Caenorhabditis elegans: one gene and its partner. The protein of the gene in region 2 interacts with the protein of the main gene of each other region in a pairwise test. Each region holds a gene or a part of one and is shown on either strand. Other genes may lie near its edges.

What was found.
Region 1: the proteins of nasp-1 (region 2) and tra-4 interact in a two-hybrid assay, tested with the Caenorhabditis elegans proteins (2 studies listed by BioGRID).

The regions. Positions count from the first base shown.
Region 1 is NC_003284.9:2,845,725-2,862,630, forward strand, and holds tra-4 (Zinc finger protein tra-4), read right to left. Parts: upstream 11,522-16,906; 5' UTR 11,514-11,521; coding exon 11,448-11,513; intron 11,397-11,447; coding exon 11,332-11,396; intron 10,551-11,331; coding exon 10,351-10,550; intron 10,298-10,350; coding exon 9,751-10,297; intron 9,699-9,750; coding exon 9,440-9,698; intron 9,030-9,439; coding exon 8,709-9,029; intron 8,444-8,708; coding exon 8,317-8,443; intron 8,265-8,316; coding exon 8,218-8,264; 3' UTR 7,955-8,217; downstream 1-7,954. Other genes in the region: Serine/threonine-protein kinase kin-29, read right to left, coding at 194-310, 364-487, 533-1,150, 1,878-2,008, 2,059-2,195, 2,243-2,327, 3,457-3,701, 3,761-3,919 and 6 more; comt-1 (Catechol-O-MethylTransferase family), read right to left, coding at 12,442-12,498, 12,809-12,907, 12,959-13,284, 13,576-13,699, 13,743-13,858, 13,935-14,016, 14,074-14,305, 15,415-15,718 and 3 more. UniProt on the Caenorhabditis elegans protein: Probable transcription factor. Promotes normal hermaphrodite (XX) development, in concert with histone deacetylase hda-1 and nasp-1, perhaps as components of a complex.
Region 2 is NC_003280.10:11,098,844-11,113,631, reverse strand, and holds nasp-1 (Protein NASP homolog 1), read right to left. Parts: upstream 7,021-14,788; 5' UTR 6,997-7,020; coding exon 6,884-6,996; intron 6,833-6,883; coding exon 6,466-6,832; intron 6,417-6,465; coding exon 5,841-6,416; intron 5,783-5,840; coding exon 5,690-5,782; 3' UTR 5,562-5,689; downstream 1-5,561. Other genes in the region: glb-4 (GLOBIN domain-containing protein), read left to right, coding at 2,463-2,569, 2,615-2,827, 2,875-2,982, 3,033-3,197, 3,244-3,329, 3,610-3,760, 3,815-4,019; apc-1 (Anaphase-promoting complex subunit 1), read right to left, coding at 1-311, 795-882, 4,066-4,212, 4,498-4,927, 4,972-5,301, 5,355-5,408; C09H10.9 (YqaJ domain-containing protein), read right to left, coding at 7,670-7,702, 7,747-7,874, 7,923-8,061, 8,106-8,215, 8,265-8,401, 8,447-8,661, 8,716-8,967, 9,025-9,114; C09H10.5 (uncharacterized protein), read left to right, coding at 9,875-9,881, 10,672-10,763, 11,939-12,117, 12,462-12,660; C09H10.4 (uncharacterized protein), read right to left, coding at 13,170-13,358, 13,405-13,407; nuo-1 (NADH dehydrogenase [ubiquinone] flavoprotein 1, mitochondrial), read right to left, coding at 13,643-13,741, 14,153-14,474, 14,531-14,694. UniProt on the Caenorhabditis elegans protein: Promotes normal hermaphrodite (XX) development, in concert with zinc finger protein tra-4 and histone deacetylase hda-1, perhaps as components of a complex. May act redundantly with nasp-2.

The DNA of each region.
Region 1 (16,906 bases), on a different chromosome or scaffold from region 2:
TTTTCCCCCAAAAAAATGTGACGTCAGCACGTTCTTAACCATGCAAAACTAATTTTTTTTTCATCGACGACTTCCAAAAAGTGACAAAAAGATTTTTCAAAATTTCAAAAAATCATTTAAAATTTAGAAATTTTTAAAAAAATTTTTGCTATGATATTTAGTGCCGGGTTGACTTACAGAAAAAGCTACTTACCCTCACTCTGTCATCTATGCTCCTTGTCGTCTGTTCAGGTGTTGACATTCCAGAGAATGATGTAGATGAAAATCCAATTGCTGTCGCAGGTCGTTGTCCAAAAACCACTTCCTGTGCCTAAACCATGAATAAATATAATACGAATGCTCTTTTTAAACGAGAGCAATTACATTTTTCTGGAATATGCTAACTGGATCAAAAGAAGATGCAGATGGAGCAATGTTGTGTTGCCGGTTATACTCATCAGTTATGGATATTTGAGGACAGGCTAATGAGGAGCCTTCATTTGTAATTCTGAAAAATGTATCGATAGAACATTCCCGAACCTTAATCACTCACTGAGATTGTGCGCATCCGTGAGAGAGTCCTTTAAATTCTTTATGCAATCTAGTCATATCATTATTCGTTTGCAAAGCTTGCTTAAAAAGTTTTTCCAAATGATTTTGTTGCTGAGCAGAAAGTGACGGTGAAGCCCAACTGCTTCTTCGTTCCGCCGGAGGTGCTTTTGTATACGGTGTTCGTTGATACCTTGGTATTGGATTTTGAATTCCTCCACCCAACTGATTACCAAGGCAATGGACAGTATTTCGTTTTCCACCATATTTCGACAGATAAGACTTTCCTTCTTCTTCCACTGTCGGAAATGAGATTGGAGGAGCTGGCAAGTTTGCGAGATGTTGTGTCAAATCGAAGTTAGTTGGCAGAAGAGTTTCACCGGCGGAAGCTCGGCGTTCACTCTTTGGAACTGGTAGCATTTTTGATAAGTCTGCAATTGGGATGGTGGCAAATGCCGGGTGCAACGATGGAAGTGGGAATTCGGCAGCTTGTCCTTCTGGCATTGGTGGAAAGCCTAGCGGTGGATTCATTGAGAAGTTGTTTAGTAACAGGTTTGGTGGTGGAAACTGTCCCATCATGTTTGGCGAAAGAAGCTGCTCACTTGCACACAAGGTGTGGCGTCTGAAAAAAGTAAACAGGATGTAATAATCCGAGGTGATAATTGCAAATCCATTTCATTAGCAATAATGGAAAAAGTCTAAATTACCATAGCATTTTTTTTTAATTTTTCACAAAGTGAGCTGATTTGAGATTTTTTGAACCGTTAGACTGTCACAGCTTTAAATTGGTATGCAGTTTTAAAGGCTCAGTTTTTTTTTTTGCTTGAATAGACTGAAATTTTCTTAAAAATTACCGAATTTCATTAAATGAGTTTTCACAATATACCATATTATCAAAAACAAACTATTTTATCAAAGTTAATTTGGCTCGCCACAAAAATTTTTAAGAATTTTATAAAAGGTTCCATTAGAGGTCGTCTTTTAGTCTATTAAAGCAAAACCTGACAAACTTTAAATTTAAAAAAAAACGAATGTGAATACTGGTGGACGGAAAATGCCAATCAGTAGTTCTACAAAATAACCCTATTGAGCATATTTTCTTAATAATTCTCATTAAAATATACAATTTAGAAAAATATTCGCTTAGTGAAAGCAATCGAAAAACTGCTCGAAAATTGTCTGAAAGTTGAAAATTGACCGAAACACTTTTTGATATATTTTTTTTTAGGAAAAATATCCAGATAACATGCTCCACTGGCTATTTTTTTGGAAATTTTATTGTCTATTGCAAGACACTGCTGTTACTGGTATTTTCAGCACCAGTTTTTTATAGAAACTTATTCACATACCTATTTTCAAATCTATTTCCAATAATATCTAGCCCGTGCGGTGTTCCAAACTGTCTCTCGTGATTCATAGGTCCCATCGAGCTCATCGGAGAATCATCGCACAAATCAGAATTTGAAGAATCATCCGAGTCCTGAAATTACATTCGGCAATATAGAAAAAAAGACTAGTTAAATATCGTACACAATCTGGGCTTGAAAGGTTAAGTTGGGCAAGTTGATGGGCAGATATTGTTGGCGTCAGTGGTTGCTCGTCAACGTTAGCTTTTCCACTAAGAATTGAACCTCTTGATCCACGTCGCGGAAACTCTTCTCCAGTTCCTAAATAAAGAAAATTTGTTTTAATTAAATTTTTTGATTATTCAGACCTTCTAATGTTCCTTTTTTAACTTTATCGGCCAACAGTTCGTAGGTCGCAAAAATTGGGCTTTCAAAGTCTCGTCCAAGAACAGCCTAAAAATTTAATAATTTATGCATTTTTTTCAGTAATATTTTATATGGTAACTCAACTTGTTTCCTTTCCTTACTGTATAAAATAATATTATAAATTTTCTGTTCAATTCCAAATCACAATTTCATTTTTACAAATATGTATGTGATAACGAATTCATCGTCTGGTTGGTAGATGCAAATAAACGTGTTTTGGTATTTTGTGTATTGATGCCTATCATTTAGAAAATTCTTGAAGTAGTTCCAGTGGGGGAATGGCTAAATATAATGGTTGAAAAATTCAATAAAAATTTCCAAATTTTATATAATGTTTCGAAACATGGAAAAATAATAGGTTTTGCCTAATTCAATGTGAACCTCCCTCCAAAATTATTTGCTCGATAGAGCGCAATTGCACATTTTTTTATTTATTTCATGTTTTCAGTTTATTCTTACTTGAAATTTGAAGAAACAGTAAGGATAAATGCAAATTTTTCATTGGAAAAAACAACAGTAAAGCAGATTTTCAATCGAAAATTTGCATTTGTCTTGACTTTTAATCAAAATTCAATGTGAAATTACACTGAAAACACGTGTTATCAGGCTGTCCCATTACGGTTTGATCTACAAAAAAATGCAGGAATTTTTTGCCCAAAAAATGTGACGTCAGCACGCTTTTAACGATGCGAAATCAGTTAAATCTTCTGCGTTTTAACTCCCGCATTTTTGCAGATTTACGTAGATCATACCATAATGAGACACTCTGGCATCACGTGTGACAGCATAAAAAATCAGTGGGAAATAAGAAAACACCGAGAAAAATTAAAAAGTGCGAGCGCGCTCTCTCGTGCAAATTATTTTGACGGGAGGATTAAATTGAATTAGGCAAAAACTATGATTTTTCGGTTTTCAAAAATCATTTAAATTCTAGAAAATATTATTTAATTTATTATCTAGGATATTTTGTTGTTGTGATACGTGTTTTAAAGCCATTTTTCACTGGCGCTCATTATGCACTGTGTTGCCATTCTTTTGAAAAGTTATTCAACCGAAACGTTTTCATTAAAAGACGGTGTGCTTTTGGCAAATGAGAGACAAGCTTTCCACAAGCTATGAAATCTGCCAAAACGCTTAACACCTAGTTAGAACCCACATCAATAATTTGTTCTTCACTCCATTTCCCATGCTGCTGCATGAACATCATAATTGTAGGATTCAACTTTGTGGACTGCTGTCGAATTTCTATAGAACTTGATGGGATTGCTTCCAGGAGTTGCGCCGCTTGATTTTTTTGCACATCATCTCGGATGTGCATCCATCTGTGTTGAAGAACGTTTTGGATTGTGTATCTTTTGCCAGGGTTCAACACGAGCATTTTTCGTATAAAGTCCGCGCACTCTGGAAAAAAGAAGATGAAGACGTCATTCTATGCGGAAACATTCTAGAGAGCCGCTCACCAACAGAAACCCAATACGGAATCTTAACCAGGCCAGAGAGAACGGATCTCTTGAGTTTGTTCACTGAATCACTCGGGAAAGGAAATCCGCCGGCAACGAGAATGTATAGCAACACCCCCATGGACCAGATATCAGCTTTCATGCCGTCGTACGAGTTACCTGCAACGTTGGCTTGGAATAAGAGAAAAAATGGCAAAGTTCTCACAAACCTAATAACAATTCTGGTGCGGCGTAGGGTGGTGATCCGCACCATGTGTTCAAAAGTTGATCGCCGGTTTGAAAATTTGAAAACCCAAAATCTGAAAAAATATAAGAATTCAGCATTCCTTTTCGTGGGTTTCAAACTATAATCTCTTACCAATAATTTTAATGTTCGAATTTTTGCCTAGTAGAATGTTTTCAGCTTTTAAATCTCGATGAACAATTCCTTGCGAATGAAGATATGCAACAGCGGACGCAGTTTCAGAAAACCATTTCCGAGCAACATTTTCCGCTACCCGACCCTTTTCTATCAGTGTCTCTGGAAAAACAACTTTGCCGAATTTTTCCATACACATCATAATTATACCATATAACTCTCCACTGCTACAGTATTCGCTTACAATGTACAACATGTTGTCAACCCTCATTATCTGAAAATAAAGCTATAACATGAGGGATTTGACAATATGAACTCACCTCATAACTTTTAACAATATGCGGGTGATCGATCACTTTTACAATTTTCACTTCTCGTTCCAATTTTATCAGATTTTCTCGGTCTAACGCTGACACATCGATACTCTTGATTGCCACCTGCAATTTGTATGTTTTGCTGCATTATTAAGAGTGAGCATTCCAGAAATGTACATGGAATGAGTATTTGAATTTTACAGTGCACATAGGAAATTCAACAAAAAAAGCCAGTGTGGCATGCTCTCTAAATATTGTTTCATTAAACTTTGTGATAAAATATAGAAATTTTTTTAAGCTGAAAATAGCTATTAATTAATTTGAAGCTACCGAAAAAGTGCTCAAAAATTGTCTCATAGTTAAAAATTTCCGGAAAAAAATTCTAAAATTGTTCAAAACGATTGATTATGTTGGGCCAGGTATTCTGCACAAGTACCTAATTTTTTTGAATTTATATACTCACTCAATAAAAAACTTTAAGATTAATAAAGCGGCACTGGATAAAAAAAAATTTATATCAGAATGAAGTTTCTTGAAGTCTAATGCAAATTGACAACTTTTCAAAAAATGGGATTTTTTCACAAGCTTAGTGTTTTTTATGAACTTTCAAGCATATCTTTGACTGTAACTGTAAAGTTTCAAAACCTTTCTTTTAACTTTTACAATGATATCTAAACGATTCATGACTTTTTGAACCTGAAAAATAAAACCGGACAAACCTTAGTCTTAGCAATCTTGTGCCGCGCTATCCGAACTGTGGCAAAATTGCCTTTGCCAATTGCCCGACCAACATCATACAGGCCTATCTGAAACGAATTGTTTTGTACATAATAATGATGGTACTGTTTCAGTTGTTTTCCTTCTTTTCGCCTTCTGTACAAAACACTTTCCACTATTCACTATATTAGCAATATTTGTTCTTGTGAATGAGAATCGTTCAACCAGGCGGACGCACGTTTTGCTCTTAACCCCCATATGCGGAGCGCGTGCAGACTGACGAACAAAAAACCAAATCCAATTATAATCGACAACAATACATTTTGACTCATTCTCTCCCATCATTATGAACATCACCACCGCAATTTGAAGGGTTGCTAGTCAGGCAAAATATCTATTCGAATACAAGTTTGTCAAACTTTGATCATGCAAACAGTCCTACTATCACTTCGAATTAAATCAATTGGCTACGTGAAATGATTGTGTAATATGCTGTTTTACCACATTTTCCATCAATGAAAGTTCAATAACATCGGTTTAAGTTGTGTTTTGGCAGAATCGAAATTGCAACACTCTTCGTCAAGGAAATTTTGAATTTTTAAGAAAATAAACTTTTTACGTTTTACGGTTTATCTGCACTTTGTTTCCATAGTAATTCGAATGCAATGGAGAATCTTAAATTTAGAAAATGTGGGAAAGATTTTTTATGCAACTGCATAATCGCATCGGAAACCAACTAACATGAAAGGAAGTAATGATTTTTTTTCCAAAAAAAAAACTACGCAGGTTTTTTTATGGAACATTGTTTTAAAGGTGGAGTAGCGCCAGTGGAGAATTTGTTAAAAACCTTTTTTTATCGACAACTTCCAAAAAGTGGCGAAAACTGGGATTTTTTCCAATTTTCAAAAAATCATAAAATTCAACTTTTTTAAAAATGTTTTTAACTGTTATTTGATTACTGTGGTGTGGTGAGATAGCAATTTTTTAAATTCACAACTGACGCTACTCCACTTTTAATCTATTTTATTTTTTTAACTTCTTGCTAAAAACGTTGCATGACGTAAAGCGGTCAAAAATGCTGTGCAAAAATTTGTCGGACGAAAAAAAAAGAAAAACTCTCAAGCATCCATCTTTATGTTCTGCCGTTAAACTCTCGGCGCTCGTTGATTTATTGCCGACTGTCGAACGGATGCGTGGGAATTTGCTTGGGCATTAAACGATAAAATCAGAAAAAGACTGTTCTATGGCGGGAAACAAAAACGACAAAACGCACCTTCTCACGGTAGATTGCGCAATGTTTTTACATACATATTTTATGTAAATTGTGTGACCTTAAATGAATGGGGAGAAAAAATAAAGTGCAATCGCACGCCGAACAAGTCAATTAACTAGGCACCATTCAATTAAGTGTGGGTGTTTTGTGTGTGTGGGGAAGGGAAATTGAGAACAAAGAATGGAACAGAGAGAAGAACACCCACCTTTTCAAGGCCCATACGCCGCCGTGGCGCAGCCATTGCAGTGTTGGTGTGGCGGCGCCTGAATGCGACAAGATAGTGTCGTAAGTTAAAACAGAGAGTGCATAGAGTTTTACCACCAGACGCACATATACATACATACACGCTCTCACTCACCCACTCACTCACTAACGCTCATTGCCGCCGCCTCCGCCGCCGCCTCGGCGTCTCTTCTTCTCTCACGCTCGCCTTCCAATACACTCAATAACGCTCACCGCCATGGCGCGCTCGCACACAATTCCTATTCGCTTTCTTTCCCGCACTGTGTTTCTCGATTTTCCGCGCCGCTTTTTTCCCATCTTCTCCCACCATCCTCTCTCTCACTCTCACACTTTGGACTAAGGCAGCGGGGGGCCCGCACACACGCACACACACACAAACAGACACACATACACAGGAAAAACGCACCCGTCCAGCGACCACTGTCTCTTTTTCTCAATGTCTCGGATTTGCGTCTCTCTCTTTCTCCACGCGTGCCCGGGTCCCGTTAAGAACTCTCGTCGCTTCTTGCTGATCTCTCACACTGACTCATACAATGCCTTGAGGAGCTCAACCGGGCGGCGGAGATCGCACTGCTTGAGCAAGTTCAAGAAAATAAACTTTTAAACCACCAACAAATTAATTCACGTAGTTTTTATAATGATAAAAATCATTCAGCATTTGTATATGAGCATTGTAATAAATTTCAAATTATAGTCACTTGACTTATATGTGTATATGTTATAAAAAAGTTGATTGATAGTTAGGACTCTAAAATAAAAAATGCCAATGGAACTATAACTTTTCCAATTAAAAATACTTGAAATTAAAAACATTGAAGGATTCAAGTTTGATCCGTTCTTCAAGCACCACGTGGTGTTAGATTGTCCCATTTTGGTTTGCTTTATGTAGATCTACAAAAAATGCGGGAGGTGAGACGCAGAGTTCTCGTCAAATTTTTAAAGGCAAAAAATTCCCGCATTTTTTGTAGATCAAACCCTGATGGCACAGCCACACACCACGTGAAGCGCCATGCACCGCGCATCTGAAAGTCAAGTACACTGCCCGGTGGTACTCCCACTAGGCTTTATTTTAAGCCACGTCCAAGCCAGTGACTGTGGCCAATATTTTCCGTTAAGGTTGTGGGAACCTAAAGGGAGGCAGGACTTGTATTTCTCATGATTGCTACCGTCCTACCACCTGAGCATTTCCTGTAAGTTATCATGGTAACAAAAATGCAAAAAAAAAACAAAAAAGCGAAAGGTTCAGCAATTCAATGTGAACTATGTCATAAATTTCAAAATATCTACATATAGTAACCTGATTTATTTGTGTGTATATCATGAATAAAGTTGAATGATTGATAGCACGCTAGATTAAAACATTAAAACACGTCCATGGTCTGAAAAAAAGTAAGAGGTGTTACAGTAATAGTACAATCAACATTAAATGACAAAATTAAACCCTTTTTAACATAATCGGGAAGTGAAACAAAAACAAACAAAAAATTGAAAAAAAAATGTATCAAATGAAAGTGTGGTAGTTTTGATGAAGATCTGTGATGATGAAGAAGTTTCACTCGCCTTTGTAGAGTATCCACATCCGCGGAGTCTCCACGTATGCTGTAATTAAAATTCAATTTTAAAAATTCTGTCATTCGTTTTTCAGTGATACCTGTCGGCTCATCTGCTGCCAGGTAGCCTCCGTGCTCTTCATACACGTGATGTTTCATCTCGGGGTATTCCGCGTGACGTTCGTGACAAATCGCGCAAACATATCCATGCTCATCTCTCTTGTGTTCCTGGAATCAATATAATTAAAAGTTCATATAAGGGTATTCATGACAAAAGGGCAGGCACCAGGATATAATCTGATCTCATTGTGAGTCCTCGATTTCATCGCCGTAATAACATTGATTTTTCTTTTTTGTTTTTCTTCTTTTTTACATGTATGTTAATCCTATCTCAGAGCACCCCTTCAAAAAAAAACAAATGTCATTTTTACCATGTGATTTTTTATTATGACAAATGCTGACTTGAAGTTAATGTGTGAAAGAATAAGCTCACCTCCATAGCAGTGTATCGGTTTGCACGAAAGTCGCAAACTTTGCATTCAAACTTTATAATTCCCGTATGCATTCTCTCATGGGTCATCACTGCAACTTCACTAATGAATATCTCCTCGCAAAAATGACATTGGAACGTTTTTGTGAACACATGGGACATCTTCTTGTGCTTCCGAAGTTTACGCGGTGTAAGGAACTTCATGTTACAGAACGAACAGCGGAAACCAGAGTTCGCTCCACGATGGAACTTCTTTCGGTGATTTAGGAGACGATTGTCGGTGCAAAGATTTCTGATCGGAGTACATTCGAAGCAAACATAAGTCTGAAAATATTAATTATTTAAGAGCTTGTCTTTAGTTTGAACTGGAACAAAGATCCAGAATGTAGTATTCAATTATAAGTTTTAAAATAAAGAAATTTAAGTGTATTTGTTATTTGTTATAAATGAGGGTTTTAAACTAAAGTAGCGCCAGTGGGGAAATTGTTAGAAACCCCTGGCGCCAAAATGGCCAAATACAACACTTTTTTGATTTTTTTTTTCCCTAGTCCAACAGGAGCTATTACTGAGATTTTGCCACTTTTTGAGATAACTATAGCAATGTCGCATGATCAGAGTCCTACAAAGTTTGAATATTAATATTTGAAACAAAATTGAAATATTAAAAAAATAGAAGGAAATTTTTTTTTGATTGGCCAGGTAACATTTTTAGAGTTTTTTGTATTGTTTCTTACCAATTCACAGTCGTGATTCGCCATCTCTGCATCATTTTCAACACATTTAAAACATTTGAGACACTGCTGAAACTCGACCATCTCCTCGTGCTTCTTTGCAAAATGTTTCTTGAGGGAAAACTCATTTCTAAAACGTTTATCACAGAACGGACATTGCGGCGACACTTTTTTCTTGTACGGACGCTTTAGTTGCTTGATTCTTCCATAATAGTCAAAACGTGGGACCAGGCCGCCATTGTTTTCTCCGGGAAGGGGAATACTGAAAATGCATGACGAAATTTAGAAAATAAACGGAAAACTGCTGAACCTACTAGTTTGGATCCTCAGATGGTTGAGAAATCTCGTTTTCCGGCGGGATGAATCCTCCTGTTTGTAGCTCTTCAATGCGATTTGCTTCGATTTCTTCAAGCCGTTGCAGCTCCACTTCTTCTTCTTGTTCACGAATATATTCCTCGTAGAGATCTGGATGTTTGTCGCGCAGATGTCGTTCATAAATGTTCTTCTCGATAAATCGATTCTTGCACTTTTTGCATCGAACCATTTTCTGTCGAATCAGCTTGCGTACAATCCGAACATCCGTTGGAGCATTCGGTGGAGGAAGATCAATTCCATCCTGATGATCGGCTAGAGTTAGTGTCTGTTGAACTTCAGCAATACGGCAAGGAGGAAACTTCGAAGGGTCTCTGACCCGAAATCCCAACTCATCAAGAACAATTCGCTCTTTCTGGATGGGCTTGATTTCTCCTCGAATTTGCTTCATAAATTCTCCGACTCCACTGAGCTTTGCACGTTCTTTCTCTGGCTCTTCTTTCTCAACAGGAACCTTTGCTGACATTCCGAGTGCTTGAGCTAGAAGTTCTGAAAAAACACACGTTATTAGTAAAAACTTGTAGTTAGATGTTTCAAATTACCAAAACCGATTCCCTTTTTGATCTCTTCATCGTCGTCATCGTCCTCCTCGTCGTCATAGAGCTCGTCCTCATTAATTGTCGTTTTCTCTGTTTCAAGTAATGGAATCAAATCGGTCTTGTTATTCAAATCCATCTCATCGTCGTCGTAGGTGCCTTGCCAATTTGCTTGGTTGGTGTCGATAGTAAGCATCAGCATATTACTGAAAATTAAATTAATTAAATGATTTTTTCTGCATATTTTGAACGTATAGGCCCGATATGTGCTCAAACAAATGATTTTCGTAATGAAATCTTCACAATTATGGCGGTTCGAAATTTGGAAAAAATGGCCTAGCCGTACCTAAAACCTTAAATTTTGGTCACTTCCCGTATCTGATCGGTTGGAAGTTCACTTTTCTGAATTAACATCCCTTTGGACAATTTGGTCGTTTGGTACATTTAAAACTGTTAGGTGATCAATTTTTGTTATTTTTGGTCACCAATCGGCTTCAAAAGTACCCAAATTTACAAAATAAAGTACTATCAAAATATGCAATAAAATTTTATAATTCCAAAAAAGAAAATTTCCGACCTCTGCGACACAAAACAAGTTGACAAAATTAAGGATTTCAGCTAGTTTGGCTGTTTTTGAACCGACATAAAAATATTTTGAGAAATTTCATTACGAAATTCAAATATAGATTAACCAGCCGTGGACCGCACCTTCGGCGCGGCCCCCGACTTCTGGGGCTGAAAATTGATTTTTTATGAAACTACCGTCACCCTACAGTATTCCTACCGTACCACAATTGTACCACTACAGTACCCCGACTATATCCCTACACTAACCCTAACTCACTATCCCTACAGAAGCCAAAACTTCACAGACTACAAAGACCACATAGACTACAAACTATGGACACACAGAATAAGCGCTTTATATATAGTAAATGATTTTTTCGGATTTTACATATATTATAAAAAGAAACAAAAAAAACTTACTCCATTGTTGAGGATGAACCTTCTTCAATCGCCGGTTCTTGTTTCAAATTTTGTATCGTTGGCGCCTGAAATTGGGAAGAATTTTTGAGATTAGAAAAAAAATAACAGAAACTCACCTCTGTAGGTCTTGGTCGCGTTATGGAGTCCTCCTGTTTAATAGTGCATTGATTTGGGTCATCCATTGCCTGAACCGTGGGAAATAGTGGGTCGATAGTATGCGCGCGCGCGCACCAAAACACTGCACATTACAGGCGTACGCAGCGCGACCGCATCGCGTCTCTTCATTGAATTTCAGAGTTTCATCGATTAACTGGTTTTTGCAGGATTTTAAATAATTTTTTCAATTCATTTGATTGGAAAATAAAATAATTTAGGTTTGTGGAACTAAATCGAAATATGATATAAACATTTAGTTAAAAAATATATTAAAAAATACTATTTTCGAAAAAAACAAAAAAAGAATTACCGATAAAAATGTATTTGTAAATAGAAATATTGTAAAAATAATAACCTTGAAATATATATGAGACGCTCTCAAAAACGAAATGGAAGAGTTAATGCTATGGGTTTTCTAGTCCGCCTGTCCTCAAACAAAGAACGAAGGCTTCGCAGACAGATGTTTTAAAGATGAAGTAGCGGCATTGAAAAACGTGTTTAAAACTTCTCTATTAAAACCAAAATAGGCGAATAGTATTGTAAAACTTTTCAAAAAAGTTTAAATGTTTTATTTAAAATATATTTACTTATTTTTGCAACTCAAAATTTGGAAGCCGACAAAAAAAGTTTTTTCTACGCTTTTTAATACTTTAATTTTGTTTTCAATATTTCTGTTAAAACATTCTAGTGTTTGGAACACGCGATATTGCTCTGGATTTTCATAAAAGCTCTTTTTTTTTTTAAATTCTACTCTACCTCTAGCACACTGGGTTAACCGTTTAGAGTAACATTATGGAAATAAAAAAATATGAAGGTTTAAAAAATTTCATTGTCAAAATTATGAACACATATGAACCGGATTGATTGAGGACAAGAACACCACTTTACACGTGGCGATTGAGAAGTTTTAATGCAAATAAAAACATACAAAACAATGTTAATTCAAATTTTATATCAATTCTTTGTAACAATCCAGGTGCCGCCACCATATGGAAGTAGAGAAGCAGAAACCTGAAAAATGTAAAGTTTCTGATTTTTAATTAGTTATCTTAATATATTGGTTCAGGGTATTTTGAACGTATATACCAACAATGTGCTCAAACAAACGAATTTAGTTTTGAAACTTCACAAAAACTAGCGCTGCGACACTGAAAACTGCTCAAATTTTGAGAGAACAAGCCCAATTTTCTTTTAAATTTTGAATCCCCATAAAACATTTTGAAAATTTTTTCAGAAGTTTCATTTTGAAATTCGTTCAAAATACCCAAAACCGATACTCCCCCTTTCACTGTCTCAAAAATTTTTAAGTTAAATTTCTCACCCGGGGGTCTTGTTTGATGCGTATGTTCATGTTTCGAATGACCCTGTCATCGTTGGTCATGTGATCAATCGATGACATCACTCCACCACCATTGAGTGCCTAGAGAAAACAAAACGTAAAACTATTATTTCTAATTAAGAAATGAGGGACCTGGTTAATGATTAAAAGACCACCACTTCGAATCAGTCGAATTGCGTGTTCATAATCATCCAAATAGTTTTCCCTCTTAAAATCATCCAGAAACACAAAATCGAAAGTGTTGGGTTCATTTGTTGCAAGTCGAGGCAATGATTTTTCGATGCTTTCAGATGTTCTCATTTGAATTCTGGACATTTGCGTAGCCGTGAGTTTTCTTGCGTGCTTCTGCCCAATTTTATCCCAGAAAACAGCATAGGCCGGATGCTCAAGTGCGACAACAATTCCTCGAGAATCAACTCTTTCGGCGACACCGAGTAATCCAAGACCAGTGAATACTCCTGAACGTTTATTTTAACAATACAAATCAATTTTTCATTATAACAAGTACGTTAAAAAGAGCCACACCACGTGAAGTGACTCAAAGTTGAGCCTGGTCGAAAATCTTTTTTGGAAAGCACCGTGAAATGAAAAATCATGGCTTCATGGCACAACATTAACCTGCATAATATCAGAAAAATCGGTAAACAGCGAAAAACATTATGAATTTTGACTCGTGACTTGCTTAAGCCCCTCATAGAAAAATAAAATTTTGATCTATTCTCCAAGTAACATACATGAAATATACTCACCAATTACTAAACATCTTGAAGGTCTATAAAGTGACATTAAAGTTTGAACTAGTTGCACAATTTCCGGGGTCACTGAACTGTGCCAAGAAATGTGTTGTGGGAGTGATGAAGCGGTTTGGGTGTCCTGAAAAAATTGTAACGGATAAAAATTTTAAATTTTGCCTTACCCTGAGCAAATCTTGAATGGAGTTGTCGATCATTGTTGAGTGACTGTAGCAGTATTGGAATAAAGGATCAGAAGTCTCAAAACTTTTCAGTTTGATGGAGCATCTTTGATCGGGAACTGAAATTAAAATCATATACATACAACTGTAAATTATTTATGTACACATATTAGAGACAATGCAAGATGTACTTACCACATGTGTCATATTTATTGGTGTGGGGAGCAGAGGTGACCGCAATTTTTTCAACAATTGGAGGGCGTGTGAACTTTTTAGCCTGAAGACAAAATCAGAATTGTTTCTCTAATTCTATGAAAGAATGGTGATTTCATACTTTAATGATAAACGGAATTCCAGCCGTTGAGCTGTAAACAGTCTGATATTCACTTGGTGGAGTAGGGATCAACATTGTGATTGTGGATGGCTCAGATGGAAGCTCTGCAGTTACTGACATTGGGGTAGTCCAAAACACAGAAGTTGTATATTCAGGAGTCACAGAAGGTGTCACTTTCTTCCAAACATTGTTCCGGATAATAGATGATGGACGGATGAATTGTTCGGTTGAGCTGAAACATATTGGGTGAGTAATAAGTTTTGTCAATTTTTTTTGTTTTTTTTTAAACTTTTATAAAAAATAGGAAACTGTAAGTTATGTATATTTAGTCAATATCACATATATCCAAGCACTCAAAAATTAGAATTTCTGAAATTTTTGTTTTTTGATATTTTTTCAATTGGCGTTTGATTGATCTGTTAGTTATATAGTTTTATTTCAGATAAAATTGGGTTCTGCAAAAAATTAATTTTAGCTTGATTCTACCACTCAATCTGTACTTACCTGAAATTGGCAAAAAAGAGTATTTTTTCAATCGTTTAATTTTTGGTTCGTTTTTTATTCTTGTTTGCAAACCACATTAATTAGTGTTTATGCACGTTTGTATTTTGTTTCAGTCGAATTCGTTCAATAAAAAACAAATTTTCCGGCAAACCGACAAGCGGCACATTATAAAATTCCAGATAAACGGAGTTGATAATATTGTGCTGGAGAAAGAATTTTGGAAGTGCCGACAAATCTTATGTAAGTCGCACAAAATCACATGGTTGTTTCACGCCTACTAACGCACCTACCTCTTTCATGCCCACGTTTCTGCCTGCCTACCTGTGTGCCTACGTCATGCTTGTCCGCTTACGTGTCTAATCAACCTATCCACAATACCTAACCGAAACTTCTAGTCTGCCTACGTGCCTCCTTCGTGCTTTTCAGCATAGTCTGGTTCCAATAAAAATAAAAATAAACACTAATAAATTTGAAAACAAAATATGTCAGAAAAATCAAACAGTGGACAAAATCCACCTTTTTCGACAATTTAAGTTATGAACACAATTAGTTGCTTTAAATAGGTAATACCAGCCTAATTGTTTTGTGAAAAATAATTTTAACATACAACTTTATAGCATTCACAATCAAATTGGAATTTTTTTTTTTACAAAAAATTATAATTTTGAGTGTAAAGTATATTAGAACAGCTCGGATATGGATGCTCACAATTAAATGTACGTAGGTAACTTACAGTTTCCTATAACTACCATATAAAGGTGCAAAAAGTATAACTTTTCCATTAGTTACCTATTACCTATTGTTACCTAGTTACCTATCGTGAATAATGTACCCCACCTTATTACAGCCTGCGAGGTACTTGTCATTGGGCGGGTTGTGGTAGGCCAGATTTGATATTGAGGCTTTGTGAAAATTTTTTGTGCTTCTGTAGCTGGCAAGATAGTCTTCACTTGAGTTGTTGGTGGAGATGTTGTAGTTGGTTTCGTTGTCGTTGAAGGTTGAGCTGTCGTAGATTTTTCAGTTGTTGAGGTTGGAAAAGTTGAAGTTGTAGTTGTTGGAGTTGTAGAGGTGGTCATGGGAATGTTTGGTGAAAATGTAGCATATCTGACTCTTTCAGTCGTTGTTGTAAATCTTATGATGTCTGAAAGTTTTGAAATATTGGAGGGAGGAAAGTTTAGGAAAAATCCAATAACTTTATTTTGTTGTGCACACCTGATATTTCAATCTGAAATAAAATTCTGTCCGAAATTTCTGAAGTTTTTGCATATGAAAATTTAGTACTAAATCCTGTTGATCGTTAAAATTCAAAACGTAAAAACTGTTAAGAATTAATAGAGAGCCCCATAGATAGAACCCCAAAAAGTGTGTCGCTGCGTGCAAACTCAACAGGATTTAATACTAAATTTTTAGACTTATTCTAGAATAGTTTTGGAACTCATTCCCCCACACTCTAACAGTTTCTCACCGTCTTCTGTGGTAGTGTCTTCAGTGGTAGTTGTAGGTTTTGTTGTCTTCACGAATTTGATAATCTGCGGTTCGGTAGTGGTTGTATATCTAAATCGTGGTCTGGGATCATAGGTTGATGTAACTTCAGGGACTGGTGTGCTTGTAGTAAAATGTGGCGTAGTGTAAGGAAATGTGAAAACAGTGGGCATTGGTCTTGGAGTTGGCTTGCTTGTTGTCTCGGGCTTATCAACTGGTATTATTTTCGGGCGAAATCTTTTCGGCGTTTTTGGTAGTGGAGTTGATGTTGTTAGATTGAAAAGCTCTCTTAAATTCGTGGCTATTGTCAACTTATCCTCATTCCCAATTGCCGATGAAAGGTATTGACCGATGTTATTGAACAAGTCTTTTCCTGAACCTGAGAGATTAAAAAAACGTCAAAAAAAGTCAGTTAGAAGTACCAAATTCCAAAAATGAATACTGGGAGTCTGGCTCGTTGAAATCCAATTTTTCATGAAACGCAGTTTGTTTCAAGGTTTCAAACATTGATCCCAGATTAGCCTTAATTTCATTTATACAGTTTTGCAAAAATGGAAGAAAACATTGACTTACAAATGGTAGCCATATAAACCCGTCAGCAAATCCCACTGACGTTAGAATTAAAGCAAATGGAATAACAAGTCGCATTGTTATTAGCATCGACTGTTGAGTATGAGCCCTAATCTAGCAAACTGTCTAGGATGAGAAAAGAGCTTGTCAAAAAATGCTTCCCTTTTCTCGTTCGCGTCGTCTCATCGTGTCTTCCTCCGTTTTGACAGCTCTCGCCGTGACATGCGATGAAAAACGAAAAAGTGTTCGGTACGAGTGACCCGTGTCCACATGCGCT
Region 2 (14,788 bases):
TTGCTCCTTCCTTCGGTTCCACATAAACACATTCCAGACACACTTTCGACAAGAGTAGATCAACATCAGGATCTCGTTCAAGATCTCCAAAATCACGATCATTTCCATGCTGTGTATTCTTCGAGAAGTTCCTTGGCGTATCGCGTATCATTCTGGTAAAGTCCCGAAGCAACGATGCATTGGTGTCCCCGCGACGGCACATTTGTGTGAGATGAGTTCGATGGAATGGTGAAGCAGTTGTCTGGAGTCTAGACTGAGCAGCCGGTGTGCTTGTTCCTGGTGCATCCTCATTGACCATTCTGGCGAGTGTTCTGGAAATAGAAGAATATTCGATTATATTCGATATTATTACTTTTTGTTATTTTTTCTTCAAAAAAAAAAAGATGGGTAGAGTTTGTGGGTTTTTCCCTAAAAACAACTTAAAATAGGCCCAAAAACAACCGAAATTTTTTTTTTTGGTTTTTTGGCGTCATTAGACGAACAAGTTTCATACTTTTGTCATTTATCTTGTGTTAATTCGTCGATTTGGATATATTTATGCCAATAGGCATCCAATTTCGGTCATTTTTGGATGCTCTAGCGACTTAAATTATGCTTAAATCAAGGAATTAAAGCGAATTAAATTACCAAAACATGCAAAGAAAAGTGATAACTTAGTAAAAAAACTATATTCCAGCTGCTGCATCGAAGAAAATTCGGCGATATTTTAGATCTTCGCAAATTCAGGTTTTTTTCCGAAATTTTCTTTTCCTTCGAGGTGCTCCTTCTTTAACGAAATTTCTCATTAACTGTACCTAGTATGTATATTCCGTTCGAGACCTCCTCTCGCAATAACTCGTGGCGTATTCGGAGTAGTTGCCCATATTTGAGAGTCATTGTTGCCTGAAATAAAAAAAAGTACATACTTTCTCATTCTTCCTCATTTTTATTTTTGTGCCTTCATTGGCCTCATCACCTATTCACGGGTTCATCTGGCACACACACACACAAATTTACTGGTCAGCGACTGAGCCTAGAGGAGGATGAAAACAGAAGCAAACTCTTTTTTTCTTTCAATGGCTCACACTAATCTCTGTGTCTTTCCTGTACACGCCTTGTTCTTCTAAAAGAGAGATTCTTTTGGCGATGCGACGACAACGAAAAGAGCACCGAATGCAAATGTGATTTACGCCCTCAGGGCTATACATATCTACAATTTCACATGTGCAGCAACACAAAGTCTCTTTTGTCGGTGTGCACACTCGGCGGCGGCAATGTTCAACAGGCCTTACGTGGAATATGAGGCGCCACACAACAAATTGCTCGACTCTTCCAGTTTTGCTATTTCCAGCCCGGAAGTGTGACTCTATTTCTTGCAGCAGCAGCAGCTAGGTTGATCTAGTTTGGAGCTCCTTTAGAGCTCCGTTTTCAAGATCAGGCCTTGTTGCTCTAATAATCTCGTTGTAGATCTCTATAGAGTTAGTCCACGAAAAGTTTCAAAGCTTCATCTGATATCCGTTTCATTCAAAAGTCTAATTCAGTTTTTTTGAAAAAGGGGGTCTCCCTCTCCAATTTTCATGAGTGCTTCTCACGCCTATCGGACGCCTTTTTGACGTAGAAGAGAAGATAATCAAATTGTTTCGATTTCAAATTTCACATTCACAGATCTCCTTCTCTAGTCAATAGGCTCTCTCGTCAATCAGAGTTCAGTCGCGGTGACACCCCCGAATCTAATTTGATTTTCTCATCGTAGAACTTTTGTTCACATTCGAGACGAATTTCAGAACGAAATTCAGAATATCGTGTGCAATTCGACTCCTCCTTCCCCTCCCACGTCTTTTTTCTTCCTTATAGCTGCCAGAACACATCGGACGTCGTTGTCAATCATTTTTCTTATTTAGTCGAGGACGTATTTTGTTTTTACATCTGCTGCTGGTCTCATCTTGCAATGCTGAAGCACCAAGACGCCGCCCCATTTATCATATTCCGGACGCTATTAGTTAAGTCGGGCGGCCGCTCCAAGTTTTACTCGATTTTAAAAAGAAATCGGCTCTGCATTTTCATTGTTTTGAACCTCCTATCACATGAGTGACCTTCTTCTCTTTATATAATCATCTTTGAGAAGATCGACGCACTTCCTTTCTCAATTTTTTTCTGTGAAAATTGCATCTTCGACGAGAATGTCTGAAAAACAACTTCTTCAGCTATTTCTTTGAATAATGTTACGTCCTCGTGAGCTCATCATAACATATTCGAATACCCATAATTATTCATTATTCACCTTCGCGAAAAGAGCATGCTAAACAACTGTGTGCTCTTTCTACTCTCTTTGAAGCTTCCGTTGCTATAAACAGATAGAAAAGAGAAAATCCATTCTTTGATTCATTCTGTTCTTTTACGATTGGCTCAGTTAGGATAGATGAGATACTTAATGATGAAGCTCATTTTCAGTGTATCAGAGATCTTCCGGACTATGCAACAAAATGGGCAATCAGTCTGCTCGTCAACTATCTACACATCGAAAACATGTAGTACATACGTGGAATACAATAAACTCGCACGATCCACAGCTTCTGAGTGATGCCATTAGGTGAGCTCTTTTTTCAGACTGTTCCTGAAAAGCAATTGTTTTCAGTGAGGCTTGGCTCAAATCCGCCGAGTTAACACCCACATGGGTATGGGCTCTTGTTGATCTACCAGAGACTATGCACGCTACCTATAAGGAAAATGCTCAATTTCTCAACATCATCAATCAAGTTCGTGACTTTCTCAACATACTCATCAAAGTTCACAAATGTGATCCAGAAATGATCAAGACGCTTTCCTTCCGTCTCGGAGCACGCCATCGGTTAGTCATATGCGTGGGTGGGACAACACTCACAAAAATGTTTATAGACATTATATGAATGAGGGAAATGACAACTGCTTTTGGGCTCCGTTTGCCCAACAACTTCCGATCGCCATGAGCAAAATGTACATGCGGGTTGTCACAGAGGATAGCAAGTAACTTTTTGACAATTTACATCACGGGTGGGAAATCAACTGGTTTTCAGAATTCGGCGAATATTGAGAATAAGGTCTAGGGCAGCGGAGAAAAGTGAAGAAGAAGAAGTTTGTGAGTCTTGGAGACAGTTTTCCTGCATGTTAATCGAATCAATGAAACGAGGATATGAGGGATGTGCAAGTGAAAAGACACCTCTTCGGTTAAGCATTACAAAGTAAGTGCTCTTCCATATCTTCCACAAAAAAATCTAAACATTCCAGCTCGATAATCTCAATGGCATCGATGCGTTCATCACGTTCCCGATCCGCCTCCCATTTTCTCGAACCGAACATGTCGCCGGCAATCGGTGCGTCTCAAGTTCATCATTCACATTCGTGTCGTAGCTCACCATCATCTAAACACCGCCCACCACCACCTCGTAGATCACTTAGATAGTTTTCTCGATATTCTTCAGTTGATTTTGTTCGCTTCTACACTTTCCTTCTCACCACGTATATATATATATATATATAACAATAAATACACTAACTTCTAGGTTTGCTGTGTGCCGTGTGCTTTTCGTTTTATAGTTTTTTTGTTGTTGGTTTCTGTTGGCTAAATTCATATTCTAATTTACTCAAATCTAGCTCCAATGTGTGCTCTTCTTGGCTCAACAGAGAGCAACTCGACGACTACAACAACTCAGCCATCATCTCCAATTACTCCATATCGACGAAGAAGTATGTTCCGCGCGGGTGGAGCTCTTCAAAGGAATAGCCAAGACTTCACAGCACTACGGTATGTAACAATTTGACGGACATCAGCTATAATTCTCACTTCACGTATTTTCAGAAACCGCCGTATGTCTTCTCCCAACAACCCGTCAATTCTTCTAAATAATTGCGACATTCAACTGCTCAAGTTGACGTCTCAATTGAGCCCCCTCGAAGATCAAGTCAAACAGAATCGAGTGCCAGGACGAGCGCATCAGCAACGGCGAAGCATAACACTTTTAAATTTTGATCATCATCATCGTGCACGATCGCCCACGACTTGAGGTTAATGGTGCTAATAAATTTTTATGAATTAAAAAAAAAAATTACCTTCAAAATTCGGTGTTGGAAGTGTTGCAGGGTAGCCTGGAGCGTTCGGGTTGTTTGGAGTAGAATGTCCAAAACCGGATCGCAGATGAGGAGTGAACGGTGAGCGGCTATCAATTTCCGAGCTGATCACTTCGGAGAGCACATTTTCTGGAAAATAATTATGATTTTTTGTTGAATATAAATTAACTCGGACTTCCACACTATATCATAATTGAAAATATTTATTTTTTAGTTTTTAATCACAACTCTTTCTAATTTAACATTTGATTTTTTTAGTAGTTTTTGGGGAAAATCGAATTATTTCCTGTTCGAAACGAGGTTTTTTTGGTTTTTAACTTAAATCACTGTAAATTAACTAAATATTGACGATTTGAATGTCTGATACAATACGAATAATATATTTATCCAAAAGCTCAAGTTTTCAAAAATTACCGGCGGGAGAGTTGAGTGTCGGATCAAAATGCGTAGTTCTGCCGGCAGAATTCGGCGCCAAACTCGACGCGAACATTGTTGAATCAGACGGTCTTCTGAGTGCTTCAACGTATCGAATCGCTGCGTGAACTTCCTGTTCTTGTGTCTCTCGTGCCATATAAATCCGATGCGTCTTCTCCTTCTGATCATAGACAACAACGTAATTTTGCTGAGCGTCAACGAGTCCAGCCTCGTCTCGATGCGATTGCCAACAGAATTTCCATTGTGGATGGTAGCCGCTTGTCTTGTAGATAACCGGGAGAAGCTCGCCGAATGGACCGGATAGCGAGTAGAGGTGAAATGTGTCGTGATGGTGGAAGGTTTGTTCGCTGGATGAATCGTAGAACCGTTCGACCAGAAGACTTGTCGAGCAGGAGAACACGTTGCGAAGCTGGAAATATTTGAAATTATCAGAATTTCAAACTAAATTCTCACCTTAAAAGGAATTTCATAGTGATAGAAATGATAGTCGGGAAGCGATATGAACTGGAGCTTATGCTCACCGCACACAACCAAATAATCCCGATGCTTCGTATCAGGTCCACCACAATTCTCAGTTGCCAACTTTTCAGCGTTTCGAGTCACAATGAACGAGTGGAAGAACACTTTTTTGATATCAAACTCCATTTTGAACCGTCGTTTAATCATCTTCCGTCGCGTCGTTCCATCACAAATGAGAATAATTGGACCCGATGTGAAGACAAAATCCGTGGTCTTCTCCTTGTTTCGAAACGCGCAGACCACTGTATCCTGGGTGAAGAAATCCTGAAAATTTAAGTTTACTTTTTTTAAATTGTTAATTATCTAAAAAAAATTACCTTTCCAATTTCATCTCCCAGCTGAATATCAAACTGTTTATTAGCAGAGATCATATTTTTCCAATGGCAATCATCAAATTCTTCACTCATACAAGTATAATTCGAATTTGAATGAAGCTGAAAATCCTGTTTTAAATAGTAAAATTATTTTGGAAGTATGAAAAAGATTTGAAACAAATTATAAAAACGAATATATGGCGAATATATATATACAGAACAAGTTTTACTTTAGAATCCTTAAATTCGGATAACAGATAAAATGTTAATTGATACATTATCAGTAGTTCAGTAGGTCAGATCATGATGAAATATTTAGAATTACAGGTTATCAATATTCAGATCGAAGTTGTTCCTTCCTCCTCCTTTTCTTTCTTCACTGCTTGATTGTCAGTTGGAGCATCCACTGCTCGTTTTGCTGGACGACGAACCTGGAAATTTGTTAATTGAATATTTAAAAAGTCTACGGGAAGTTAATTCAAACCGTACCAAGCTAGAAATATCATTTGCTTCCTTCTGATCACCGGCTTCTTGTGGAAGTTTTGCCAATACTTGTGTGAATCCTTCGAATTGCGCTTTAATGGCCTTCTTAGTTTCCTCAACTTGTGCTGCAGAGTGCACAGCATCAGCAATCATTTCTTCAACGCCTGGCATCATCTCTTCAAGCTCCTTCAGCTCATTCTCAAATTCAGACTTCTTTTCCTTATCATCAACACCTCTTTCCAGCTCATGCTTCAACTCAGTCTGCCTGGCGATGAGTACGTCCTTGGTTTTGCCGAAGTACTGAACGGTTTCATCGTAATTCGCATCGCTAGCACACGCGTTTCCGATGAGAATGTAGGTTTGGGCGATTTTTCTCGACGACGGTGGAAGAACATTGCGCTGAATGTTGAGGGCACGATCCAAGTCCTCAAAAGCCTGAGTATACTTTCCATCTGATATTCCGTGCTCGCCGAGGAGAACCAGTACATCAGCGAGTTTCAGGTTCCATTCCTCAATGGCACTGATTCCACTCTGCTCAGCTTCTAGAGCTTCGATTTTGGCAGCGGCAATACAACGAGCTGTCTGAAAATAATCACAATTAAGCATAAAATCATTGAATAAAATAAGAAACCTCAAGAATTTCCCATGATAATTTCATGGTATCATCATCATCGTCCTCTTCTTCACCGGATTCCTCTCCGTCCTCCTTCTCCGTTTCTCCATTCTCTTCGTCAGTCTTGTCATCAGAATTTCCAGCTTGCTCCTCATCTCCGCTTTCCTTCTCACCTGGACCTTTCAGAAGTTGGCTCTCCTCCTTCGCCAATTCCAGTGTGGCCATGCCATAATAGTAAAGAGAATCGAACGTGTTTTCATGGTTTTCTCCATAAATTTCGGAGCTCAGTTCAGTAGCCTCACTCAACGAATCCGATGCTTTGTCGATATCGTTAACTTTCAACGCACGGCGTCCAGCTGCAAGCAACTCGGCGAGACGCTTCTCTCTGGAATACGAAAAGTGATTTTATTGATGATATTCTGCAGCAAAAGTTTACTTCTGCTCGACAGTCTCTTCTTCTGTAGTAGTCCCGTTTCCTTTTTCATCTGAATCTCCTGAAGCATCCTTCACACGAATATCAGAGGCGTCGGCGATGTTTTCAGTGTCCATTTTCTGATTTGTTAATATCTGAAAATAAATACTATTCGATATATATTCAAAATTCAATAAAAAGCGGATAAATTCAAATGAGTATAATAGCGCGGGAGAGCCTAGAAACCGAGCGTTGCCTAGTCCACTAAAAACCGGCCATACGGCGGGAATTAGTACGTTTCGAAAAGGTTTATCAATAAATGTTTTTAAACAAACATATAAACTGTATTCATGATGTTTTTAGAATTCTACCGCTAGAACAGACCGACAGGCCGATTTTTTGGTTGATTTCAGTTGATAATTCCAGCTTGAATCACTTATTAACACTGCCGCCGCTTAAAAACTTTTAATTAAACAAAAATAAACACAATACTTCAGCAAAACTTTCATTTGAAAAGAGAAAAAACAATTTTTTGGGAGTATAAACTTAAATTGTCAACAACAAATTTTCCCGCGCTGTGCAATGTTGCGTCTGCGTGCCGCACAGATATTACTGTAACGCATCACATATGACGAGCAATTGGAGTTTTCTTTATTTTTTCTTTTTTGTTTTTGCATTTTCTTTTGCCTATTTTCCTTCTAGTTCTTTAACAAAATGAATTTATTAAAAACTTTTATTCTAAATACTAGAGAAAAACTGTATATCACATAAAACTCGATGGCACATTGTTGAGAATCTTCCAAGTTGTAATTAAGTCCGCTCAGAAGTCGTTTTAGGCGATTTCTGAAAAGAAATTAAAATTATGTTTAACTGCTGTGTTTCAATACCTTCTTTAATTTTATTGTAAATTCGTTTTCCCCATTTTCTGAGTCGTGTCGTCGTTTTACTCCACATTTTACGATTGGGGGTTTGGAGAGAATGCCGAGGAGAACTGGATGGTCCGACAATTTCAGATCTGCAATCTAGTTTTTGTTGAATTTCGTTTAATCACTATCAAACTTACTTTCTTTGTCCTCCTGCAAATTCATAGCCTGGAAAACTGGCGTTCGGATCGTTGTGAATTTATTATCCGGATATTTACATACACCTTGAGCTTTGTTAGTGCCGGCTTCCGTAATTCTTATCAGCGAAATTTCAAATGCCTGAAATTTTGTAATGACAGGTGAAAAAAAATGTAGATCCTCACATTAACATGGTCGGCGACATCCGGATACACAAAATTTTCTATCCATTTTGCAAATGAGTGCAAGTTACTGTAGCTACAAGTACCAATGAGAGCGCCGTGCTTATAAGTTTCTGAAAATTATATTTAATTGGTCTATTAAGCTTAACTATAAAATATTACTTTTATTATCTGGCCAGTAATGCTGGTGTGCGTCGAATAGAGTTAGCGTGTCCTGATTTCTATCGAAAATAATCGAAACTGTTCGAACACAGCTCATCATGATGAAGACAAGGCGACTTTCCGATTGAAATAATGGACTGAAAAATGCCGGAAATTTATAGAATTTGAAATTTTGAACCTACTGCCGAACAGCCATCTTGATTAGTTTTGGTAGAGATTCTTTGATTGATCCAGTAGTTAGTTTGAAATCAACTTCCGAAAAACTAAGATCACATGCTTTGATTGCATCTGGCAAGTTGTAATTTCTCGTAGATTCGTCACCAGCGTGCTTTGAATAAGTGTCATTTCCATCCACAATCCCATTAATCAGACAACCAATAAGTCGCGGTGGGCAAGTCTGAAATTAAGAAATTTATAATCCAATAATTAAGCTTAATCTAAAAAGTCTTACAGTTTCAAAACCATTGTTATCCACAACCGTCTCATCTGCAGAGCTACGAATATAATGTTTCCGCTGCGTCCTCTCAGCACCGGCCGCCACACGATCATTTCGAGTTGGATACGGTATTGGCATTTTGATGTCATGAATATGGACGAGCTCGGCAATTTTCAGAGCAATGAGGGTACAGGCATTTGATAAAGTTGTCCGTCCACCGATAGAAGATTGGGATATGTCCACTGGGAATCGCCACACCAGAATTAACTGAAAATTATGAGATTGAGATTTAAAAAAAAAAAGTCTCATAGAATTTCAAATTACCTCTTCCTCAATGAACGTCACTGGTTGAAGCGTATGATGAATCGCAATGTGATCCTCGTAGTTTTCGGATCTAGAACGCTTCCGAGGCATTTGCTCGTCGGGAAAATTGTAAAATCGTACAGGAAATTGTTAGACTAACTCGAAATAATGTGTTTTTTCTTTGATTTCAAAGGTTCGTTCGTCATCGTGTTTTCCACAGGTCCCACGTTTTATGCATATCATTTTCTTTTCAAATCTAAGGTCACGTCAGCTTTTTAATTTTCCAGATTAATTTTTTTCAGTTTCAGAACAACGCGTTTTGACGTAATTAAATAATGACCTATTTTCTGCAAATTTTTGGTTTTTAAAACATTTTTTCCAGTCCTTTGCAGATGCCAAGATGCGAAATTGTTTCAATTCCTACAAAAGAATACGGTAGCCGGTCTCGACACGATAGAAAATGTTTATTGTAGAGCAGGCATGAAGCGTGTGCGCCTTTAAGGAGTACTGTAGTTGCTACGAATATCCTTCCACAATTCGCAGATCGAATAATTTTCTGAAACAAAAAAGTGAGACTTGAATGGAATACTTTTTAAAGGCGCAACCCCTTTTTCGTAGCTTTTCTATAAAATTTCCGGTCGCTTCGAGACCTAGTAACGTAGATTCCTTCCCTATAGAATTCAACAACATAATATCACGTCTGCCCGCCCCGACTCAGAATTTTGTTTTCGTTTTCAGCCCCTAATTGGAGATTTGACAGTCTTTCTCGTTGCTCTCACCCCATTCAGATCTCTTTTTGTGTAATATTTGTTGTATTCATATTTCACTGTAGCTTTTGGAAATCTCAAATATTCTGAAATTGATGCAAAAAATGCGTGGTGAGTGCTAATTTTTAAAAACACGACGCCCGGTCTCGACACGAAATGTTTTTTGTTAAATATGAACAGGTGTGCGCCTTTAAAGAGTAGCTTCACATGTTGCGGAATTTTCATCGAATTTTCATTATTTTTTATTTAAGTTTTAATATTTTTAACGAAAAATCGATGAAAATTCCACAACAATTGAAGTTACAGTACTCTTTAAAGGCGCACACTTGTTTGTATCTGACGAAAATTGCCGTGTCGAGGCCGGGCGCAAAAATTAAAAATTTCGCGACTCTGTAATAGAAATTGCTTTCAGATTTTCCAAGTATCTTTAGATTTTTTCGTGATATTTTACTATTCACTAAAGAAAATTCTCCAACAAAATCATAAATTTCCATTGAAACCACTCTCTCTGCCCTCTCTTCCGTCTCTCAACACGAACCTTCTCTCTCTCATTTTTCTTCACGGCGGCCTTTTTGGAACATTCGTAGCGAGAGTGAGAGACGCAGAGACTCGATACGGTTGCATAGACGCTCCAATGCCAAATCAGCTGTTGTTTTTCAAGTTGTTTTGCTGCCGGGGGAGGCATAGAGAGGGAAGAAGCAGTGTCAGAAGCTCAGACAGACACTCATTTTCAGTTTTTTTTCAGTTCCTCTGTAATCGGTTATTATTCATTCATTTAAAAATCCTGTGGCTTTTTAAAAAATTGTTTTCATTAATTCATAAAAATTCATTCTCTTTTCTTTGCTTACCAACAAAAATAATTATAATTTTTCATGAAAAATTGCAAATTTCAAATTTTCAGTCGATGCTGGAGTTATGCGATTACCGGCCACCACTTTTATCCTGCTAACTTGCATGTTCTCAGCGATAGCCAATCCAGCCGAAGAAGCAAAGGTTAGCAATGAATTGTGTGCTCGCCTGGATTAGAGCCCGGAAACTATCCAGGGATATCCCCTAATCGTCATTGTTTGGTTTTAAATTTATGGCTTTTTTAGAAGTTTCGTTTCATTTTTTTTTTGAAAATTGCCCTCTAGTCACAAAAGAAATAATTTTTCACAAAATAACACAAAAAATACATGATTCACTCCAGTTCTCTGGGCGGATATATCCTTTTTGCCTCCATTTTTGCCTTGTTTTCGTCGTCGCCTACTCGTCTGTCTGCGGCGCTGAAAATCGAGACGACTACGACAATAACAATTAGAGATATATGTCTCTCGTGTGCTCCCCTGCTCTCCTTTTTCTCAAAAAAAATTCCAATTATTTTGTGGTCTGGAAATTGAAAAAAAGGGGTGTATGTGAGAAATAATACGGAGAAAAACACAAAACTATGTAGAAAAATTCAAATTTTCTGAGAAACAAACTTATGGTTATTCGAATGGATCTCGAAATTTTTTGGATCAAAAAACTAAAAATTAAAAATTGAGATAAAAAAACCGAAATAATAATGTCGATTTTGGTTTAGTTTTAACTTTTAAAAAACCATTTAAAAAAATTTAAAACCACATTTTTAAAATATCTGCCAAAAAAAATTATTTGGACTAAAAACAAAAAACTGAATATCTCCAAAACCAAAAAAAAAAGAAACAATTTTTTTTTCATCATACCAACTAGAGCAACACATTTTTTTTAAACGACTTCCCTGGCTGTGATCTCGCTACTGAAAAACTGTTATTTGTAATTTTCCTTTTCAAAAATATTAATTAAAAATCTGAAAATCACAGAAAAACAGAAATTTGCTCAAAAATCCTTTCAAAATGCAAAAAAAACGGATCGGACTCCAAAAGTACCATAAAAATACTACCAAAAACTTTTGGATCGCGGTGAGACCCATCTGCGACCCTAAAAGTGTCGAATTTTCGCATCTTGACTTTTTTTCTGAACAGAAAAGTCTGAAATACTGACAATTTTTGCGATGAACGACTGAAAAGAAGGAAGAAAAATGGCAAGTTTCGCACAAAAAAACTAGCAAAAATGAGGCGTTTAGAGCAGCAGCACATTGCATATCCAGCCGTCATGCACTCTCAGCTTCTGGGTGCTCTCACCAAATTAATCCAACGTTTTTTTTGCAGAGACGCGTGCTCGAGAAACGGCATCTCGTCAAAATGGACATGTCGAAGGCGTCACAAGAACAATTCTCGATGTTCATGAATTTGTTGTGCATCACCGTCAAGGATATGCCTATAACAGAGTATTATACCAGCTATATTCTGTGGGAAGAGGTCGAATTTCTCGAAGGAGTCAAGGATTTGTTAGTAATTACGGCAATATTACATGGATGCGAAAAAAAAAACAATTTAAAAATTGATGTTTTCTCCGGAAAATCAAAGCTTTGAAAATCTCGCTTTATTTTATTACATGATACCTGGTCTCGCCACGACAAATTTGTTAAATGCGAAAAGGTGTGTGTGCCTTTAAAGAGTATTTTTATTCAAGAAAAACTATGACAAATCGATAAAACAGCAGTCTTTAAAGGCACACACTTTCTCGAATTTATCAGAAAACTTGTCGTGTCAAGAAGACCTGCCGCAAATTCTCGCGTCCGTATAATATTTGAAGACAAATTAATATATTTTTTAACGAGTTTCTTTTCAGATTGGACCCAACGAGCGCCTTCGAGGATCGTCGATCTTCATTATACCATCACCTCGGGCATAACTTTGCCTCAAATTGTTCACTGAAGGATGACAATAACGTTCGCGATGCTCACGTCGTCGTAGAAGATCACACGAAATTCGACAACTACATGTACGATCAGATGACGAGAAAAGAGTGGACCAGTCTTCACCTCTAACAGAATAGATTCCATTAGTGTGTAGTCTCGTCTAGTTTCAGCTATTGCTTTTAATTTATCCAGATGAGAATTATTTCGAATTTTTGGCTAAAAAAATATGGTTCCAGGTCTCGGAATTTTTTTTAGAAACACTCAAATTTTAACAGATTGACTAGTGAGGTAAAAACTGAAAAATTATCGAAATTTGTCTTTTCGAGACCTCTTACCGTATTTTTGGCGCAAAAATCGTAAAATTTTGCATCTAGATAACACCCAGTGCCCTTTCAATATAATGTGAACCTTCATATATTACCTGTAGAATTCCATTTCCATTCGTGTATTTTCTCCCTCTCCCCTCTTCCCTCGAATCAACTATCGTCGGCTCCCCCCTGAGACCTACGCGGGTTCTTCGTTTCTATTTGTTTCGCCCAAAAATACCTCTCGCCCTCCTCTGTGTTATTCTATAATTCTGTTCAATTTTCATTCATGTCAAACAATAAAACCTCATTCATTCAGCGAGGTTGAAAAATTTAAATATTGAACAGATTGTAGGTCAGATCTTCTACGGACAAGGTGGAATTATCCGAAGAGTTGTCTACGACTGATGTGAACATTGCACGGATGACAAGAGCATATGAGATCCCAAGAAACATCAGTCCAGTTGGCAGAAGGTCAATGACATGACAACGAAGTGCGAAGAGAGCAGAGGTGAATGGAATCTGGAAATAATAATATAACTATTGAATTTAAAATAAAGAAACCAACCATAACGTGAAGCTGAAGCTGGAGTCAAGTTGAAAATGCGAGCCGGCTTCCGAGCAGCTCCTAGCAACACAACTAGGCAACCAACCATATATAAATTTTATTCGTTTCATTCATTCTTTTACTATAGAACATCTAAAAAAATGGGGAGGAGACGAAATCGAGCCGAAAAATGAAAAATACAATGAAAAAAAAAGTAATAGGTATTAAAAAGTCAGCGCTACAAACACTAAAACGGCCTTCATTGACTGATCTGCTTGGCTCCCTGCTCGGCCAAAACTTGCTTGTGGAACTCGGCCATTCGGCGTTCGAGTTCTGGTCGGAAGTGGCGAATGAGTCCCTGCAAAGAAATGGAATTTGAATTTTTTTAAATGATTATACTACGGGAACATAAAATTCTGAGGATAAGTATTGCGCAACATATCTCGTAGCGAAAACTACAGTAATTCTTAAAATGGCTACTGTAGCGCTTGTGTCGATATACGGGCTTCAATGGAATAATTGATTAATCGATAAAATATTAAAATTAAGCTGAAAATGAGAAAATAATGCAAATGAAATATAGCTCTTGCTATTCGAAAATAATTTAATTTCAAAAAATCGAACCCGTAAATCGACACAAGCGCTACAGTAGTCATTCAAAGAATTACTGTAGTTTTCGCTACGAGATATTTTGCACGTCAAGCTTAAAAATTTTATTTCTAAATAATTGTTCAAAATTTCCTTTTTTTTAATAAACTAATAGTTTTACCTGAACTGGCCATGCAGCAGCGTCTCCAAGAGCACAAATAGTGTGTCCCTCGATCTGTTTACTAAGTTCCCACATCATATCGATCTCCGATGGCTTGGCTTTTCCATCAACGAAACGCCACATCATCTTGTTCAACCAATTGCATCCCTCACGGCATGGAGTACACTGTCCGCAAGATTCGTGTTTATAGAAAAGTGACAATCGGGCGATGCATTTAACGATATCAGTTTGCTTGTTCATCACAATAACCGCGGCGGTTCCAAGACCAGATTGAGCAGCAACCAGGGCATCGAAATCCATGAGAACTGTGTCGCAAACGTTCCTAAAAGATTTATTAGAATTTTAACAATTTTTTTAAAGTAAAAAAAAAACCCCTACTTTGGCATAAGTGGGACAGAAGATCCTCCTGGAATGATGGCAAGAAGGTTATCCCATCCACCGATGACTCCACCACAATGACGCTCGATAAGATCTTTCAATGGAACGGACATCTCTTCTTCGACCGTGCATGGATTGTTGACTTGACCGGAGATGCAGAAAAGCTGAAATTTCGGTTTTTTTTTTAAATCAAAAATTGAAATTTTAAAAGAAAGAAGTGAAGAATCGAATTTAAAAATTGACGTTGAATGCTCCACT